Rhinolophus ferrumequinum: one gene and its partner. The protein of the gene in region 1 purifies or fractionates together with the protein of each later gene. This does not show direct contact. Links are inferred from orthologs where the notes say so. Each region holds a gene or a part of one and is shown in the gene's direction. Other genes may lie near its edges.

Region 1 (9,581 bases):
CGTGTGTGATGTTGTCCCGTGTTTTCTCTCTTGGTCTGTGCGTCTCACAGACGAGATCTCTGTCCCCAGGAGCAGGGCCTCGTCTCCCACTCCTTTGGTCTCCCCGACGCCGTAGTCTAACAAGGCTGGGAACTCAGTGGGCGCCCCATAAACACGGAACACGGACCGGCTGGCTGAGTCACTCCTGCCGCCTCCTCTTCGTCATCCCCTTTTGCTGTTGTCTCCATCACCTGGCTTCCCGGCCAGCTTGCGGCTTGACCTGCTCACCTGCCCCCTCCAAGTCCACTCTTTGCTTAGGCCTAGCCTGGGTTCTGGCTCCGAGATGGGCCACAGAGACAGTGCCAAAGCCCCAGCAAGGTGGACAAGGCACTGGCCAGGAAATTGCCCACCACAGCATTGAATGACTAGGGACAGGTCACCTAGAACAGGTCTCCGGCCCTCCATTCTCCGAGTGACCAGGGACACCCACCAGACTCTCCAGCAAGGAAAGGCCCGATAGCTTCTCAGATCCCCCAGGTGGGCACTGCCTGGGCTCCTGGGGGCATGAGGCAGCCTGCTCCCTGGAAGGGTTAGCTGAGGGCCATGGGTGGTGGGTGGTGAGGTGTTCTGTCAGATGGGGGCCCTGTGAGGGCTGGGGGGGGCCTCAGGTCTTGGTGATCAGAATTGGGGCGTGTTGGCCTTGGTCCCTACTCCCCAGCGTACGCTGGGCAGGCATGGGCCCGAGGGTCCAGCCTGATGTAGAAAGCCTTGACTTCAGGATATCAGGTCACACAGGAACCTGCAGGATTAGGGTGAGTGTCTAAGGGGCACATTTGAGGGTGATTTCACCAAAGAGGGCACTGGACCATGTATCCGTACGACAATTAGACTAGTAGTCAAAATAAACCCATGTCTTGGTTATGCAACTAGTTGGTGCAAATTCCCAGCAAAGACATTGCACGGTGGCCCTGCCAGCTGGAAGCTGACCCTGAACCCCAACCCTGACTTTTCTGCACAGAATGACTGCTGCTCAGAGATCCTGCGGGAGATCCGACCGGGCTCCAGGGGACTTTGGAGTCTCAGGGCTGGTCCCCAAGACACCTGCTTGGAAGGGGTGGAAGAGGCTCAGCGCCAGTGGGGCGGGGGGTGACTGGAGGTGACTGGAGGGGACCGCGGGGTGCTTGCAGTGCTGGCCACACGCCCTTCGCTGAAGCCACCCCCAGCCGCTGCACACAGCAAGTGCCAGCAGCCCCACGCTTTCGTAAATCTTCTCTTCTATTTGGAGAATTGAACTTGAGCCCCACAGAGTGTCCGGGGGGCTTCCTATCAGCTGGGCTGGGCCCCAAGGCTCTCTGAAAACTTCAGAGAGTGGGGAGCATGAGACCTGCTCACGGGAAGGGTTAATGTCACCCGACTTAACCTCAGGCCAAAGAAAACATGCGGACAGTCCCGACCGCCCTGTGGCCCAGCGGGACCCTGGGTCCTGGGCGGGGAGGGGTGAGTGTGGGTGGGTGATTCTGCAGGCCGGGCAGCTAGGCTCCTCTCACCGCTGGCCTCTGACCCCACAGAATGTGGGGTGGGTATGGTGTGCAGAGGGGTGTTGGCAAAGGGCCACTGAGGAAAGGATAGTGCAGTGTTTCCAGAATGTTCTCAGGCCTGGAGACAGCCCATGGGCCTGAGAGGCAGGGAGGGGGTGACTCAGGTAGGTCTGTCAGCCTCAGTGTCCAGGACCCAGGGTGTGACATGTGCACCTAGAGTGGACTCAGAGCCCCTGTGCGGGTCCTGGGGAGGGGGCTGTGGGCAGGCGGGACTCCCCTCAGTAAAGGGAGAAACTGGAGGGTAGCTGGTGAGCCAGTGGGCTGGGTCAGGCCCACCTGCCCCAGGTAAGCAGGCTTGGCTTGTGTTTCCTGTTCCTGTGGGCTGGCCTCGCCCACCCCTGCACCAGCTCCGCCCACTCCCCACCCCCCTCACCCCCCGTCTTCACCCCTTCACTCTGGGCCCTTCCTTCCCTGAGCCCAGTGCAGCCCCAGGCCCACGTCACAGCCCCTGTGAACCTGGCCTCCCTCCTCTCAGCTCTCACCCCTCAGCCCATGGTCCTGTCCTTCCCCAGGACCCCCACCAGCTCCTCTGAGCTTGTAGGGAGCTCCAAGAGACCCCTTTTCAGCCTCTCATCCACCCCAATGTCCCCAGGCCAGTGGGGCCAGGATTCCCAGAGCAGGCTCCTGCACAGCTCAGACCCCATCCCCCCAAAGCCCCACCCCCCAGGTGCTTGGGTGGTTACTTGTTATAATTTTTTAAATATGGAAACATACACAGAAGTGAAGCACACAGTATCACGATTGTATTCACCACCGGCTCAACAGCGATGGATTCAACAATGACCAATTCAGTGGCCGGTTGGTTTAATCTCCACCCCGACTCTGGGCCCCTCCCTGTGGATTTTTTCAGAGCAATTCCCTCGACATCACATAATGAGTGTGGCTTCTTCAGACAGGGAAGGCAGGATAAACACTTGACAATGTGCCCTTTTCAGCTAGTTTTCAGACTAATGAGCCCCAGTCACTAACAAAGGGCCCATTAGAATTTTTTGGCATGATTATGAATTAATGGGTTTTTAAGATATTTGATATGTTTTAATCTATAATTCTTTTTGATGCACAAATTGTCCTCTTGCTGATCAGCCCCTCCTAAAATTTTTCAGTGGACAGAGCCAGAAAGTAATTTTGTTTCAAGATAAAATAGCTGAGGAGTTTTTGCTCATATTCCCAATTCCAATTTCAGAATTAGTTCCTATTTCTGTGATTTTATATTGGTATCTCTTTTCTCTTGTGCTGACAACCTTAGTTGCTAAAGAATTTAACATGATATATGTACATGTAATTTCAATATAACGTTACTAATATTATTACAAACAGTAATAATATTACTTTTTAATTAATTAATTAAATTAAATTTTTGTAATTAATATTACAAAAGGATTCTTGGGGGTCCTTTTGTCCTTTGAATGTTCGTGATTGTGCTGATAATATGTTACATAGCATAGTTCACCCATTTGAGGGGTGTTCTGGTTGTTTCTAACCTTTTGCTAATATGTAAATAATGTCACAATGAATAACCTTACGTGTATACTGTTTTCAATTTTTCCTCATATCTTTGGGTCAATTCCGACAAGTGGAACTAACTGGCTGGGTCCAATGGTACCTGCGCTTTTGCTGGTAGGACCAGGACGCCCTTCCCACAGGTGACCCTCGAGCACATCTGTTTTCCCAAGGCCTGCCTCACCCATGGAGCTCTCAGTCAAACACCTGGACCTACCCCAGATACTGTGTTTCCCTGAAAATGAGACCCAGCTGGACAATCAGCTCTAACACGTCTTTTGGAGCAAAAATTAATATAAGACTCGGTCCTATTTTACTATAAGTCCGGGTCTTATATAATATAAGACTGGGTCTTACATTAATTTTTGCTCCAAAAGACGCATGAGGGCTGATTGTCCGGCTAGGGCTTATTTTCGGGGAAACACAGTAGGTGAGCAATGGTCCTACAGTATCCTCTCAACGTGCATTTTTCTTGTTGTGTGTGATGTTGGACATCTTTCCCTAAGTGCAAAGGTCAGGATCTCCTTTTCCTATGAGCCATCCCTGCCTTGTGCCCTATAAGGCGGTCTGTCATTTTCTTCTTGGTTTTAGATGTTCTTTATGTATCAGTGTTACTAATCCTTTGCCTGTGATGTAAAATAAACTACAAACGCTGTCAGTTGGTCATTGCCTGTTTTACTTTGCTGATTTCAGCTATTCCCTCTGGATTTCTGACTGTCGGGAACGGATTCCCTACTCCAGTTTGTTGAGGAATTCAGCCCTGCTTTCTTGTAGAGTCAGCATGGCTTCATTTCAATGTTTATACTTAAGCCTGTCATTTGTTCGAAATTTATTCTTGTGCGTTGTGTGGAAGATGGATCAACTGTACCTGTATTTTCTTTCTCTGTGGCTCTCCAGTTGTCCTAATGCTGCCTATTAAAAGTTCATCTTCCTCCTGCTGACTGGGAAGTGGGTGTGTAGACACTGTTCCTTCATGTATGCATTCATCCCGAAAGAACTGCCTGAATGAAAGCCTGCTGTGTGCCTGAGTGTCCCCCTGGGGCCCTGTGGGGGTGGACTCTGCCTCCTTCTGGTTCTCTGCCCATTTGTGTCCTAACCGAAACACCTCCCAGCAAGGTTCCCTAGCTGCAGTGGCCGAGGTTCCCTGGTGCCTGGCACAGGCTGCGACCCACTTCATTCTCTCTGCCTGTACAAACTGCACTCACTGCAGGCACCATCCAAGGTGGGGGGAGTCAGGGAAAAGGGTGGGGGCTGCACTCTGTCCACCGTCAAGAGCTGACTTTCTGCTGGGGGGTACGTTAAATAAATCAGCCCAGGTTGCTCAGTGAAGACCTGGGAAGCGTCTCCCAAGTTATGGGACCCTGACATGGCTGGGGGTGGTTACCCCTCTGCCTAGGACAATGTCTCCAGAGAGTCTGTTTTTGTTCTGTGTGTTATCCCATCCTTCGCCCTGGCGCCCATTTAATGTGCAGTGACCCAAACGCCAGTGCAACGATGGCTGGAGGCAGTATAGGGGATCCACACAAACCACTGACTTCATCACCCACCTCTGCCCCCACCCCCACCCAGGGAAGCACACAGGACGCAGCGGCAGCCCCCTCAGGCCAGGAGGACAAAACACGCATGCCCCTAGGGTGGCACAAATGCCTCCCCTCTAGCTGCCCAGACAGCCGGGCCTGCTCTGCCGGGTCCAGAACCAGGCCTTGCTGTTTCCAGCGGTCCCTGCATCCTCTGCTCTTCTACGGCTCCCACTGGGCGGTCCCTGATTGATGGCTCCCCCTTGCCTCCAGGGTCCGACAACCCTAGTGGACACCGCGGAGACTGCATTCCTTTTCGCCGGCAGCGTGCCCCCCCACCCAGCACCCAGGGGGCGCTCAAAGTGTTCGCGGGGCTAACACTCCATCGTCCAGGTGCCAAGAGGGTCAGTCTGCGCGTGTCCCACTGCGCCCCTCCCTCCTCTTTTCCCTGTCCCCCTCTCTGGGGAGGCACAGAGGGCGTGAAGTGGGTCTCATGCGCCCTATGCAGCCCTACTGCCCGGGCCGCGCGGTTCGCTGTCGCTGCACCTGCGGGCCCCGCGCTTTTCTTTCTGGCTCAGCTGGGTGCTCCGCGCGGGCCAAATCAGGTGGGCACAGGTGGGGCCAAGCAGGTCGGCTTGCGGGCCGAGCACGTGGGCGTAGATGGGGCCGAGCACGTGGGAGAGGGCGCGGCCAAGCCGGTGAATGCGAAAGGGGCGGGCCGCACAGGTGGGTGCAGACGGGGCAGGACCAAGCAGGTGCGCGGTTGGGCTCGGGCTGGGGCTCCCCAAGCTCGCCGGTTGCCCGGGGGCGGGGCTTCTGGCCCTGGGCGGAGCGCGCTGTCCCCGGGGACCGGCCGGCGGCCACCGCCCCCTTCAGGCCCCACCCCCACGCCCGGGCTGGGCAGGCAGCGGCCCCCCGTGGCTGGGGTGGCAGCAGCGGCTGCCCGCACTGCACCTGGGCTCCCGCCTTCGCTGCAGCTCCGGGTGCCGCCTCCCGGCCGGCCCCCGCCAGCCCTGCCTGGCCATGGCCGCGGCCTCATCGCCGCCCCGGGCCGAGAGGAAGCGCTGGGGCTGGGGCCGTCTGCCGGGCGCCCGCAGGGGCAGTGCGGGCCTGGCCAAGAAGTCCCCCTTCTCGCTGGAGCTGGCTGAGGAGCGCCCGGCGGGCGGCGCGCTCTACGCGCCCGCCGCGCCGCCCGCCGCCGACCTTGGCCCGCGGCCGCCCGTGAGCCTCGACCCGCGCGTCTCCATCTACAGCGCGCGCCGCCCGTTGCTCGCGCGCACCCACATCCAGGGCCGCGTCTACAACTTCCTGGAGCGCCCCACCGGCTGGAAGTGCTTCGTCTACCACTTCGCCGTGTGAGTATCGCCTCCGGCGAGGCCGAGCCCCGAGGGGCTTCTTCCGCGGCCGGGGAGGGGGGAGGGAGTAGGGGGAGCGCTGTGTCCCCGCCACCTGCCGCCGCCAGGACTGTATCCAAGCTGGGTGTGACTCGGAGCAGCCGTGAAGGAGGGAAGGAAGGAAGGGGTTAATGGGGAAACCACGCGGAGCCTGTTGCTTGAAGTTCAGGGACTCGGGTCTGACCTGTGAGGGACACCTGTGGCTGCGGTGCCAGGCTTCCCCCGGCCCTGCCCAAGCAGGGTGTGTGTGTGAGGGGGTGGGGGGGAGCCAGCTGGCGAGGAGTGACCAGCCCAGAAGTTGGCTCCACTCCTCCCTGGAGGAGCAGTCCAGGTGTTAATGCTTGGGGGAAAGGATGTGAGCCAGGGGAGCACAACCTTGGGTGCAGGGGAGAGAATTCCCCAGGGTCAGCTGGCACGGGCAACTCAGGGGCCCCAAGAGGAGAAGGCCCCATGCCCTTACTGGACGTCTACACCTGAGACTCTCCCAGGTCCAGGCAGGCCCTGTGGGGAGCGGTCTCCTGGGCCAGTGGGGGAAAGGCTGCCCTGGAGGGTGGCAGGCCTGGTGTGTGCCCGGAGGGGTCAGCATGGCGGTGGCGAGTGCCCACAAGGAGTCAAACTCATGAACACTCGGGCTGAGACAGAGGAGACTGGAGGAGGCTGGTTTCTGGCTGTCCGTCAGAGGAAGCTACGTACCCGGAGAAAGCAGGGCCCTATGGGCAGCACCTGGCTCCTGCTGCTGGTTACCCAGCTGGCTCCAGTCCCCAGAAAGGCTTGCTTGCGTGGGCCAGGGCATGGCGCTCCGATGCTTAGGAACGGGGCAGGAGGACGTTGCCTCCTCAGGGCCGCCCTCCTTGCTGCCTGCCGGGGGCCCGTCCCCCACATCTCGTGGCCCTACTTCCTGGCTGCCTGGCCAGCAGCCTCTTGATATGGTGCCAGCCTGTTCCGTGAACATTCAGTTGGTCATCCCGTCCCCAGGCTGATCTCGGGGCTCCTCTGAGGGCTGCATGGGGTGGTCTCCCTCTGGCTTCCTAGTGGCACTGCCCGTCCCTGCTGCTGTGGCTGGCCTCAGGCTGGGAGAGACCTGGGGGTGATCAGAGCCCTGTTTCTCCACTGGTGCCCCCAGGGCTGCAAGGGGACCCAGGCCCTGCCGGCTCCAAGGCTTGGAGCATCATCTCGGGCAGGTGAGGCGGCCTCAGCTTCCCACCTTTGCTCCTCTAGGAGTGCATGTGGTACCAGGGTTGCTGCCCTCCCTCCTGCGAGGGACCAGCTTCCCTGGCACGAGGGACAGAAACAATGTCCCCAGAAGCCTGGAAGGGCCACGGGTTCAAGCCTCTTCCCCAGCCCTGGCCCAGCCTTCCGAAGCGCCAGAGGGTACCTGAGCCCCATCCGTTGCCGAGGACGGCCCTGCCCACAGCTGCAGCAGCAGGGGCTTGTCTGGGGATGTTCCTGTGCAATGACCTCAAGGGACCCCACCTGAGTCCAATGCTGCTGTGCAAATGCTGCTGTGCAAACACGTGGCCAATGCCAGGCTTGTGGGTGCCGTGGTGCACGTGGGCTGCCTGCCTCCTAGCCCTCACCTGCTGGGCCCCAAACTCCCTGAGATGCCCAGGGGTGGGGCGGACCCCACAGCTGGGTCCTGCCGTAGACCCTGCCAGCTGTCTTTCTGTCCTGCATCTTCCATGCCAGCACAGGCAGTGGGAGGCGTGGGCAGTGGGCTGCCCAGGGGTGCTGCAACGCCCCTACCCCCAGGGGCCTGCCAGGGAAAGGGGCCACCCGGCACCCCACTGGTTCCCATCTGGGGGATGCAGGCTGGCGGGCGAGTGTGGCCCCGGCTCCTGGCCACAGCACTGCCGTGGAGGAAGAGGGCTTGCCGCACCCCAGAGGAAGTCTCTGCTTACACTTGTGTTTTCTTCCTGATTCTGATTGTTTGGCTCTCGGAAGTTTGCTCAGTACAGTGCCTTTGCCCAGCCTCCCAGGAGCTGGCGGGGCAGTGGCTGAGTGGCCCCTCTGTGGGGGGAGCCGGGAATGGGATGCTCCTAAGGTGGCTGTGTGACTTCGGGTCAGCCTTTTGCCACCGTGGACCCTGTCCTGTAAGAGCTGTGCGTGGCCCCGAGGAGTGGATGCCTGCGCAGCTCCCCCGTGTAGGGTGGCAGTGGAGGTAGACCCTGGCCAGGCAGGGCGAGCAGCTTGTCTGGGGTCTGGGCAGGTGCCCCTTCATTCCCAGCCTCTCCAGAACGTCAGCAGAGCCCCAGAACTCTCCCAGGGGACCTGGGCCTTTGATCTGGGGTTGCAGGGGTGGCCTGTGCCTGACCGGTCGGAGCCGTGGAAGGGGATGGACGGTAGCCACTCTGGCCCTGAGGTTTCTCTCAGTCGCGGCCAAGATAGCAGACAGTGCTGTCCTTGGTGGGTCGGGTTGTGAAATATGCCACCCAGGGCCTGGCTGGGTTTCTGGGTGAGAAGGCTGAGCCTGGCCTTGAAGGGCAGGGGCCCCTTTGTGAGTGTGGGGCTTGGAGGTGGGAGCGCAGTCTGGGCAGCCCTGCAGAGCTGGGCACCCTCTCCCAGACGCAGCGAGGGAAGCAAGCCAGGATATCCTGCCCCTCCTCGTCATCGGGGAACCCCTGCCCCATCCTGTGTGCCCCTGGCCTGGCCTGTCTGCCGGGGTCAGGGAGCAGGACGCTGTTGCTCTGGCCACTGCCCCTGCCCACTGGGCTTCCTGCCCCTCCCCCCATCCTCTTCCAAGGCCCTTCACGTCTGCAGCTCCCACCCTAGCTGAGGGCACAGGGCAGGGGAGAGTCCTGGCAGCCCTGCTGATGGGCCTGAGCTGGGATGGGGAGTGGTGGGTGACCAGGTAGGGGTGCCCACACTGGAGAGGGAGCCAGGGTTCCCATAGCAACCGCCTCTGCCGCTGCCCTGCTTTCCTGTGGAGGGCAGGATCAGGGCTGCCCCCAGGGCTCCTCAGCCCTCCTCTGGCTGGTGACGGGTTTCCAGTCATAGGAGCCCCCAGGAACCCCATCCTTCCCACTTCTCCTTCTCCCCCTCTTCTCCCCTCCCTTCCCGCGGCTCTTGGGAGCTGCAGGATGACAGGTGCATACTCTTTTCTCAGCTGCTGCTCCCCCACCCTCCTCCCCATGTAGCCTGGACTCCCCCAGCCAGGCTGCTGCTGTGGCTGTCTGCCCTGGGCGAGCCCCCTCCTCTGTGCCTCAGTTTCCTCCTGCAGCGCACAGTGCCGCCTGTGGTCAGTGTCCATTGTGGTTGGGAGACACTTGGAGACCCGGCTGAGAAGAGGGGTTTGCCAGCGGGTCCCAGGGCTTAGTAGATGGGGCTAGATTCTCAAACTCGGCTTGGTGCCACCTGTCCCCGCCCTCCTGCCACTGCCTTTCCCTGGTTCCCAAGAACTTTCTGGTGGCTTTGGCGGCACCTTCACAGAGGTGTTAATCATTGATGGTGCTGGAAGCTGGCCCTGGCAGTTTGTTGGGCTAAGCCTGCCTTTCCAAAAGTGGAGGCCAGTCCATGGGCCACATGTCTCCACCCGGTGGCTCCCGGTGGTGTGAGGGTCCTGCAGTTCAGCAGACTCTGAAGAGTAGTTGGCTGGG
Region 2 (9,934 bases), on another chromosome or scaffold:
TCTAATAGAAAAAGAAAACTTCATGTTCTTAAATTTCTGTTTTGGATAACTAATGGGAGTAAAAACTTGAACAATTCAAAAATTTAATGTGTTTAAAAGCTGGGAATATACTTATGAGTAATCTGGACAGGGAAATAAATACTGTGTTTTCCCGAAAATAAGACCTAGCCGGACAATCAGCTCTAATGCATCTTTTGGAGCAAAAATTAATAGAAGACCTGTTATTATATTATATTATATTATATTATATTATATTATATTATATCATATCATATCATGTTATACCCGGTCTTACAGTAAAATAAGACCAGGTCTTATATTAATTTTTGCTCCAAAAGACGCATTAGAGCTGATTGTCCGGCTAGGTCTTATTTTTGGGGAAACAGTAAAAAACAAACAAATAAATAAATAGGTGCCCGATTTAGGCTCCCTAAAGTTGCCTCTATGGGAAGTATCTCAATTTAAAAATTACAGCGTGCAGTTCATAGAATCTGCCCTTGTGATTTGAAATGTGTGGTTTATAATGAAAACACTGCTTTTTTGTTTCTATACAATGCCTCAATTCTTAAAGCTTGTCTTTCTTGATTGGAAGTTTCAAGTGCTTGAACTAGCTGTGTGTTTGGGGTACCCCACAGTGCATTTTTTCCTTTACCCCAAAGTGAACTTTTTATAAGCCAGATGGCTACAGGTCAGACCATCTCATACACGCCTATGAAATCTGGTTAAAATTTCATAGCCATTTGCTCACTTTGAGATAAAAGACTAAAATTTAATTTTCATTACGATTTGAAAGCTAAAGACATCAAAAAACTGAATTTTCATGTTCTCTTTATGCAAATATGAAGTAATAATATTGGCGATTCTGTTATAATAAGATACTTTTCACCTAAATTTTTTAATTTAAAAAGCTGGTGGGAATTATGAGGTCCAGAAAAATACATTGCAACTATATATCTGTGATACCTACTTAAATACGATGTGTTTCAAAGTAAGGTACACATAGTATTTAAATATAAGTCCTATAAATAAAAGTTAGTACATACAGACTGTGGTTCAACTATAAGAAATGTATTTTACATATATGTGTTTAATTTTGTATATTTGTATAGTTACATATAGGGGACTTCTCAGCTATGTTCACCTTTTCAGGAGGCAGAAGAATCATCAGTAGATCAAATGTGTAAACCAAGGAATAAATCTCAGACTATAATACTTGTCATATTGTAATTCTTAAGGAATTATCTTTCAGTAACATCCCCCCAAAATGAAATTCCTTTCTAGGCAACACATACTGTATTTTATAAGTTCACCACAAAATGCCAGATTTGCAGTTTATTAATTTTGCATTTATGTAAATTTTGTATTTGCATATCTGGTTTGCATTTGAATATTTTACAATTTAAAAATTACATAGTTTTAATCATAGGCTACATACGTATCTTGTATTTTGCCTAAATATCACTGTCATTTTTCTGGGACTTATTTAGGGAAATAAGGTGATAGAAAAGAGTAGGGGCTTTGGATCCAGAAAGACCTGTGTTCAAATCGCAGCTTCATCACCTCTGAGCTGAATTTGGGCACTTAAATCACTTAAATTCTGAAACAGTTTCCTTTCCTGTAAAATGGGAGTACTAATACTACCTTACAGGGTAGGTATGAGGGTTATTTGATAGTATCTAGTATGGTGTTTGGTATATAAAAAATAATTAGCAAAGCCTCTTTTTTTGTTGTTTTTACTCTTTTCAGTAGAAATATGCTTTTCACACTAAAGTGTATATGAAACAAGTGAGTGATAAGAATTCTTTTAACACATTCTCAGAAGGATTTCAGATTCTGATTATATGTTTAGTTAGAACTCAGTTTAGAAATTTACATATATAAATATGGTGTGTGCTTAATATTCTTGACTTCTGTGGCTAGTATACTTTTTGGATTGAAAAATGTACTCAGGCCTAGGGAAAAATGAGATAATTTTATCCTATGACCTACCTTTGATCTGTTCTGTATAAATATACTCATATATCCAATTACACGTGTATATTAGGGAAATCAGATTAAATTAAAAGGTACTGTTTTATGAATTAATTTACATTATACATGATCTGTTGAGTCCTTGATGAAAGGACATTTCATATCCAGAATGCCATATTTACATGAATTTTTAGAAAAAATTTTTAATTGGGGAACAGTGTGTTTTTCCAGGACCCATCAGCTCCATGTGAAGTCATTGTTTTCAGTCTAGTTGTGGAGGGTGCAGCTCAGCTCCAGGTCAAGTTGTTTTCAGTCAGGTTGTGGAGGGCTCAGTTCACTGGGCCATGTGGGAATCGAACCAGCGACCTTGGTGTTATGAGCACTGGGCTCTAACCATTGAGCCAACCGGCCGCCCCTACATGAAATATTTTTATTGATACCCATTGATCAGTTATTTGTAGAAAGTGGGGAGTGCTTCAGGCATCATAGAGACAAGACAGTTAAATAAATGAATATGGTTTGCTATGTATAGACAGCTGAAATGTTAGGGCGTACAATTTCATTACGGATGTCATCTGATTATTTAATATTTCCTAACAAAGGTGCTTGTATGATATATGACATTTATGTAATTACTGGCTGGAGTTAGAGACAGTCTAAAGCCATAAAGTAATGCAAACTTAGCTTTTCAACTTTCACTTGTTATTTTGTTTGTTTTGTTTTACTTCATCTGATTTTCTTTTCTGCCTCAGCTTTGTTGAGATATAATTGGCAATTAAAAATGTTGTGTATATTTATGATATATAGAGTGGTAATTGATATTCAACTTTGACTTTAAATGTATGATCTTAACTTCATTAGTTACTTGGCTCCAATTCCATGAGTCAGCTAGGACTTGAACTCCTGTAATTTTTATGAACTTTTATGACCCATCATATCCTTCCTATTTTTTATTAAAACATCCATTGTTGTTTCTTAATGTTTGCAGTACCAAATTAAGTATAAGGATAAGATATTAATCATAAATAAAGAGTTGAGTGAGTTAGGTTTTAAATTAGTGTTCACTGAAAGGAAAAGTTTTATGTGAAGGCCATTTTATAGTTTTAAAATAAAAATTATTCCTTTGATTCCTTCTGAATAGTAGTATAGTATTTTTACGAGATGATACTTAACCTCTGCAGAACATTTTAAAATTAAAATGTACCTCACTTGTACTTTCCCAAATCTTGAAGTTGTCTATACAGATTAAGTAAATCTGTGAATTCAGAAAATATATGGGAATAGACTAAAGGTTAATAACTGTGGACAAGTGCCACAGTAAAAAAGAACATTAAGAGAAGTTGATCTTCTTTGCAGTTAATGGAATCTATTAATCTAATTTTACATGTTTCAAGTTACTAATTTTCTTTCACATTATGGTTACCAAGTATAGTGTTAGAAAGCTAATAATGCAAAAATAAGAGATAAATGCTTTACCCTTAGGTATCAGTAAAATCATTATTGCATTAAAAAATAGAATAATTTATTGCTAAATATTAATGGTCCTAATATTGTGTTGATTATGCGTGTTTTTATTCTAACTTTGAAATATGGTTTGTTTTAGTTTAGTTCTGGTGAATAATCATTTATTACTTATTTACATGATATTGAATCTTTAAAATTTATTAATATTGACAAGATTTTTATATTTATTATAACATAATTAAGTTTTGAAAACAGTTGCGTAGTATTTTAAGTTTATGTGTGTGAGTTAGTCTAGTGTAAAATTTGATTAAATTAGTGAGAAATTAAGCTAATGTTGGCTATATAATGTGTTAGATACAATTAATCATAGTTAACTAATTATGTTACAGTGATATCATCCATTGCTTAATATTATATTTGAAGACATAAAATCCATTTGTTACACTGTACTATAAAGTAAAATTTTAAGACACTTATTAAAATGCATCATTTCAGAATTAAGAAAAGCTAATTGAAATTTAGGAGTATTTAATTTGAAAGTTATTGCAAGTGACTCGGTATTAATAATCTGATAGAGGTAGTACTCCTGTTTTCTGATAACTTTCACAGATTTCAGTATTGTGTTGCCATAAAGGCGAAAAGTTTTTTTGTTTTTTGTTTTTTTACTTTAGCTTTGTTTTTCAGAAATTAGGGGAAAAAACCCCAAAGGAATCGAACTCTGATAAAGAACTCTTGATTAGGATCTTCATTTTTAAAAGTGTTGTGGTCCATATGGATCTAATTCTAATTCTGGGATACTCTACCTTACGTATTTCAACAGTAAAAACATCATTATCTTGTATTCTATTAACATAGAATTGTGAATAATTAACATGTGAGGAGGAGTGAAGTTCCTTTGTATACTCTTGCTGGTAGGAAGAGGAGGTTGTTAAATAGATTAATTGATCTAAAATTAGTCTCACACCAGGTCAACCCTGCAAACATATTGTATCAGTCATTCTTCCTCCACAAAATGCCTGAGCTAGAGACCGGCTGTAATATATTATAGAAAATGTCCACATTGGTCAGGGTTGATACGTATAATAGTACTACCCCCAGGTGAAAGTTTGAGGGAGTGTTCCTCACTTTTTCATCTCCTCCTACAACTTGACCTGCTTGCCAACCTTCAATTAATTTGTACCAGTAAACAGTTTGACTTTAAAATTAATAGGACTTAATTAAAAAAACCAATTATTTAAATGATTTTAAGGCAATATTTTGTAGAAGAGGATCCAGTAACTTGAAGTTTATAGTTATCCTTCTGAAGACAAAATAGAAACTACACTTAGAACTTTAGATCACTTAAAGATAATGTATACTACAGTGTCTTTTGGATTGTAAGCACTCAAATGTTTGAGGAATGATTGGCATTTGAAATGGTCATAATGTCTTTTAGATAAACACTATATCTGTTTCTGCCAATGTGACATTTTCCTTAGGCGTAAAAGAGGCATGAATACAGTTAGCTGGTATATAATTATTAGCTTTAAATAAAATTCTGTTTAAAATCATAATATATCAGGAAATTGTTTTTATACAGGTAAATGGTTGCAGTTTTGTGGTGGGAGCAGAAAAGCCTACAAATTATTAAGGGTATAGTATTAAAACTACTTATGATACTAATGTTTTATATTATTTAAAACCATCTGGCTTACTAACAAAGCTTTTTCCTGCATGTATTTCTTTCTGTGGGTGATGTTTAAATGCTTTAATGGTTTAACAAAACAAAATTATCTGCCTTTGTTGTAAAACTCAATTGTAACAGAATTTGCAGATAACTTGTTTTGCTCTTGAGGTACATAACACATTAACAACAATGGAGCTTGCCATACCAGTGAACTCCCAGGTGATGAGTGATGTTTTAAAGTGGACTTGGCTTTGAATATTTGACTAATTCTTCCTGCGGAGTGTTGTTTGTACTGAATTATTCAAAATCTTGGATTGATTTAGGAAGAAGAATTTGGTGTTGATGATTCTTACTTGGAACATGGAGCACAATACAATCAGACCCAACTAGAGATGATGGAAAATGAATTGGTTGGCAAACAGCATGATATTGAAGAACTAAACAGAGAACTGGAAGAAATGAGGGCCACCTATGGGACTGAAGGACTGCAGCAAGTATGTTTACCTTATGTGTCTTGTTACTCACAAAAACAAAAATAGGAAATTTGAATGATAGTGTACGTACATTCTTTAAAGATGGGGTTTTTAAATGGTAACTTAAGGTCAGCTGATGATACTTGTCCTTATGTGTATATCAAAACCACGTTCTTTAAAACTAGGATTTCATTAACAGGTCTAATAAAACGTGGACTCTTTTATTTTACATTATGGGATAGGTAGGTTGAAATCACTTTAGTAGAATAGACGTTTTTGTAATCAACCTGCGAGAAAATTATTGTGCAAACCACATCAAAATACGATGATTTAAACTCATTAAAAATGTCAGCGAGTCCTTATAAGTGACCACTTGTGGTTAAAGTGACGTGTTGTTTGTCGCAGTCAGTTATGAAAACAAGATGAAATAGGACGTCGATGAGGATGACAAAACGCATTTCACTTTTACCCTCTCCAGAAATGAGTGAGATTTAACTTGTCTATGACGGTGTTGCCCAGGAACAGATGGAAGCATCCCTGAATATAAAGGCACTGTCCTTCTAGCAGTAGATATATGGATAAGTCAGACCTAATATGTTTTGTTTCTAAGTTCAGATAATTTTTTAAAGGTTGATTTGGAAGTAAAACCAATTCCTGCAAGCTAATAGCTTTCAAATGTGAATAAGGTTGCTTACAAATTGTAATGATTCTGCCAATGAGTTGTGAATATCATATTTTTGAAGAACAGTTACCTATAATAATGATTGATTTGTTAAAAAATAGAAGTTTAGCACTTACTATTCATCGGTGTTTTTTAGTTACAAGAATTGAAGCAGCCATTAAACAAAGAGATGGCATCATAACCCAGCTTACTGCTAATTTACAACAAGCAAGAAGAGAAAGGATGAGACAATGAGAGAATTTTTAGAGTTGACAGAACAAAGTCAAAAATTACAGATTCAATTTCAGCATGTAAGTATTAGTAGTAGAATTTATTAGATTTTTAGAAAGGAATTAATTTTTTTTCACACTTTCCACTACCATTTTAAATTTGTTTAAAACCATTTGCTTATTTCATATTATGTTTGGAAAACTAGTTAATACCTCTTGTTATATTATCCAAGACTTTAATTCATATTTTTTGCATGGTTTCTTTCTTTGTATTTTGAAATCCTACAAAACCTTATAAGTCTGATTGAGTGTAGATTTGCAGAAATTAACATGTAGTCACATCCTACCTTTGCCAACCCTGGTATGATTTTATTTTAGAGTCTGAAATGGTAACTAGACTGAATATAGTCCATTTACCTTTAATTAGAGCCCTAAGAGTCTAATTGTATTAATCAAGGTTTCTGATTGGGAGTAACAGAAAATAAATTGAGATAGCTTAAGCAAAAGGGAGGAATTTAATATAAGGATACAGGCTTATCTTAATAGAATTCAAGGCAGAAATACCACCACGCCTCTGAAATGGACTGGGATCAGAAACTGGAAAGTCCTCAGGAATCCAGGAAGTATTGCCTTTCAGGCCCCATTTCTTTCAGTATGTCTGTCTCAGTGTTACCTCTCTCACTAGACTACTTTCTCTGCTTGATCATGGGAAAGATAGTCTTATTGGTTCAGTTTGGGTAACATGCCCACACTCATCTGGTCAGCCATGGCAGTAGTTTGATGGGGTCTCAAGCCTGTAAATTCAGCACAGTTCCCAGAGAGCATTTGTGAGCCAACTAATACCCCAAAAGATGTCTATTCCTTAGTGCCGTCACTGCAGAATTTAATACCTTGTGATTTCTTTCTGTTTTCAAGTTACAAGCTAGTGAAATGCTGAGAAACAGCTCTCATAGTAGCACAGCTGCAGATTTACTACAAGCCAAACAACAGATTCTTACTCATCAGCAGCAGCTAGAAGAACAAGACCATCTATTAGAAGATTATCAGAAAAAGAAGGAAGACTTCAAATTGCAAATCAGTTTTTTGCAAGAGAAAATTAAAGCGTATGAAATGGTATGTTTATTTTAAAGAAGTCAGCCAACTTGCAGCAGCTTTACAATTAACTTTAAAGTTTTGTAGGTAAATATTTATCTTGTTATGTACATGAATCACAAAATTTTGTAATTCAGAAAAGCTCTTTAAGTTTCTAAAATTTATTTCAAAGCAATTAGGAATCTTATAATAAAAATTTTTAAGTTAATACTCGTTACTGAGTTCCTTGAAAATGACCGGCCTATGTTAAATTGAGTTTTCAGGAGAATCTAAATTTATAACCAGAATTTCTGTCCTTTTTTTTTTTTTCCCCATCTAAAGGTATTTCTACTCATTTTAAGGGTGGCTGGCTAGCTCAGTTGGTTAGAGCCTGATGCTAATAACACGAAGGTTGCCGGTTCCATCCCATCATGGGCCAGTGTGAGCTGCGCCCTCCTTAAAAAAAAAAATAAATAAATAAAGGTATTTCTACTCATTTTAGATATGGTTATGAAATTCTGAAAATATTTTCATAACAGAATGAAATTATATGGATTTTTTTTTTTATGGATTTTAATTAGAAAAAAATACAGTTCTCATTGTCCATGGTACCGTGTTTCTCCGAAAATAAGACCTAGCGGGACCATCAACTCTAATGCGTCTTTTGGAGCAAAGATTAATATAAGACCCGGTCTTATTTTACTATAAGACCAGGTATAATATATAATATAATATAATACCGGATTTTATATTAATTTTTGCTCCAAAAGACCATTAGAGCTGATTGTCTGGCTAGGTCTTATTTTTGGGGAAAAGGTAATTATATTTTATATAGTTGCCTGGGACAACTATTTAGCAAATAAGTACTCTTTGGGGATACACACATATACATAACAGATTATAGTCTTAAATCCTAAAAACAGCTCATGCTGGTAGATTATATTTTGTTTACTTTTCAAAAGAGAAAGTGAGGTTCAGAAGTGCTAAGTGACTTGCCTGAGGCCACCCCAGTTACCAGAGTTGGGATTCAAACCCAGTCTAACTGGCCCAGGGTCAGAATTTCTTGCACTGCAGGGTCTCTGTCCTCTCAGCACGAGAGCTGAAACAGGAGGGCAGCCTTGTTTGTCGTCAGCCAGAAATACACGTGTCTATCACCTCAAGGATTTTGACACTCCGTGCACTTCTGAAAATGGCTGCAAGTACTGATTTTGGGGTTAAAAATCAATTTTAGCAGGTAGGTGAATTTGCAAATACAGACTTTGTGAATAACAAGGACAGACTATACATATAACAGTACTTTTTATAAACTTAGGAGGGTCTTCTGAAAGAGGTTGAGTTACCAAGACGAGTATTATATAAAAGTGTTAGCTAGCATTTATTTATTTTTATTTTTTAAGATTTTATTGGGGAAGGGGAACAGGACTTTTATTGGGGAACAGTGTGTACTTCCAGGACGTTTTCCAAGTCACGTTGTTGTCCTTTCAGTCTTAGTTGTGGAGGGTGCAGCTCAGCTCCAGATCCAGTTGCCGTTGCTAGTTGCAGGGGGCGCTGCCCAACATCCCTTGTGGGACTCAAGGAATTGAACTAGCAACCTTGTGGTTGAGGGGATGCGCTCCAACCAACTGAGCCATCTGGGAGGCAGCTCAGCTCAAGGTGCCGTGTTCAATCTTAGTTGCAGGGGGCGCTGCCCACCATCCCTTGCGGTACTCGAGGAGTTGAACCAGCAACCTTGTGGTTGAGAGCCCAGTGGCTCATGTGGGAATCGTACCAGCAGCCTTGGGAGTTAGCAGCACAGAGCTCCAACCGCCTGAGCCACCGGGCCGGCCCAGCTAGCATTTATTTTTGTTCACTTGGTACTAGGCAGGATTCAAAGCATTTTACACATATTAACTCATTGACCCATTACAACAAATTTATGAGGCAGAGTTACCATTATCACCTCCCGTTTACAGATGAGGACACCAAGGCAAAGCAAGATGAAGCAATTTGCCAAAGTACATAGGTAATAAGTTGGTAGAACCAGATTTCAAATCTAGGTACTCTGACTTCAGATACTGCTCTTAGGAAAACAGGAAATACACAAATTTAAGGTATTGGAATTACGAAATGGACATACTTTACAACCAAGGTAATTTACAAATGATTATGTAGATGTTTATAAATACCTGTTTTGTAGCAGGCCTTTGCAGGATACAGTGATGCTTAAAATATGCCCTTTTCTTCGCTGGAACGCATGATTTAGCATGACATATACACAAAACAATAAAATGAGGATAAGTGTAGATAAAAGGTGTGTTGAAAGTTCTGAGTAGGTCTGGCTTCATAAAGGAAGCGATTCAGGGTAGGCTTTAGGGAGGAGATGATGTATGTTGGAACAATCACTTTTTAATTGTATTTT

What was found.
Region 2: the proteins of KCNQ1 (region 1) and AKAP9 purify together in Homo sapiens (affinity purification with western blotting; 3 studies listed by BioGRID and IntAct, with this or other methods). This does not show direct contact. The link is inferred for Rhinolophus ferrumequinum from reciprocal best matches to the Homo sapiens genes KCNQ1 and AKAP9.

What each region holds. Positions count from the first base shown.
Region 1 is NC_046294.1:1,617,270-1,626,850, forward strand, and holds the start of KCNQ1 (potassium voltage-gated channel subfamily KQT member 1), read left to right. Parts: upstream 1-5,499; 5' UTR 5,500-5,617; coding exon 5,618-5,949; intron 5,950-9,581. UniProt on the Homo sapiens protein: Pore-forming subunit of the voltage-gated potassium (Kv) channel involved in the regulation of cardiomyocyte excitability and important in normal development and functions of myocardium, inner ear, stomach and colon.
Region 2 is NC_046303.1:34,136,387-34,146,320, reverse strand, and holds the start of AKAP9 (A-kinase anchor protein 9), read left to right. Parts: upstream 1-5,462; 5' UTR 5,463-5,595; intron 5,596-6,392; 5' UTR 6,393-6,486; coding exon 6,487-6,546; intron 6,547-7,380; coding exon 7,381-7,578; intron 7,579-9,934. Other genes in the region: A-kinase anchor protein 9, read left to right, coding at 5,015-5,065. UniProt on the Homo sapiens protein: Scaffolding protein that assembles several protein kinases and phosphatases on the centrosome and Golgi apparatus. Required to maintain the integrity of the Golgi apparatus. Required for microtubule nucleation at the cis-side of the Golgi apparatus.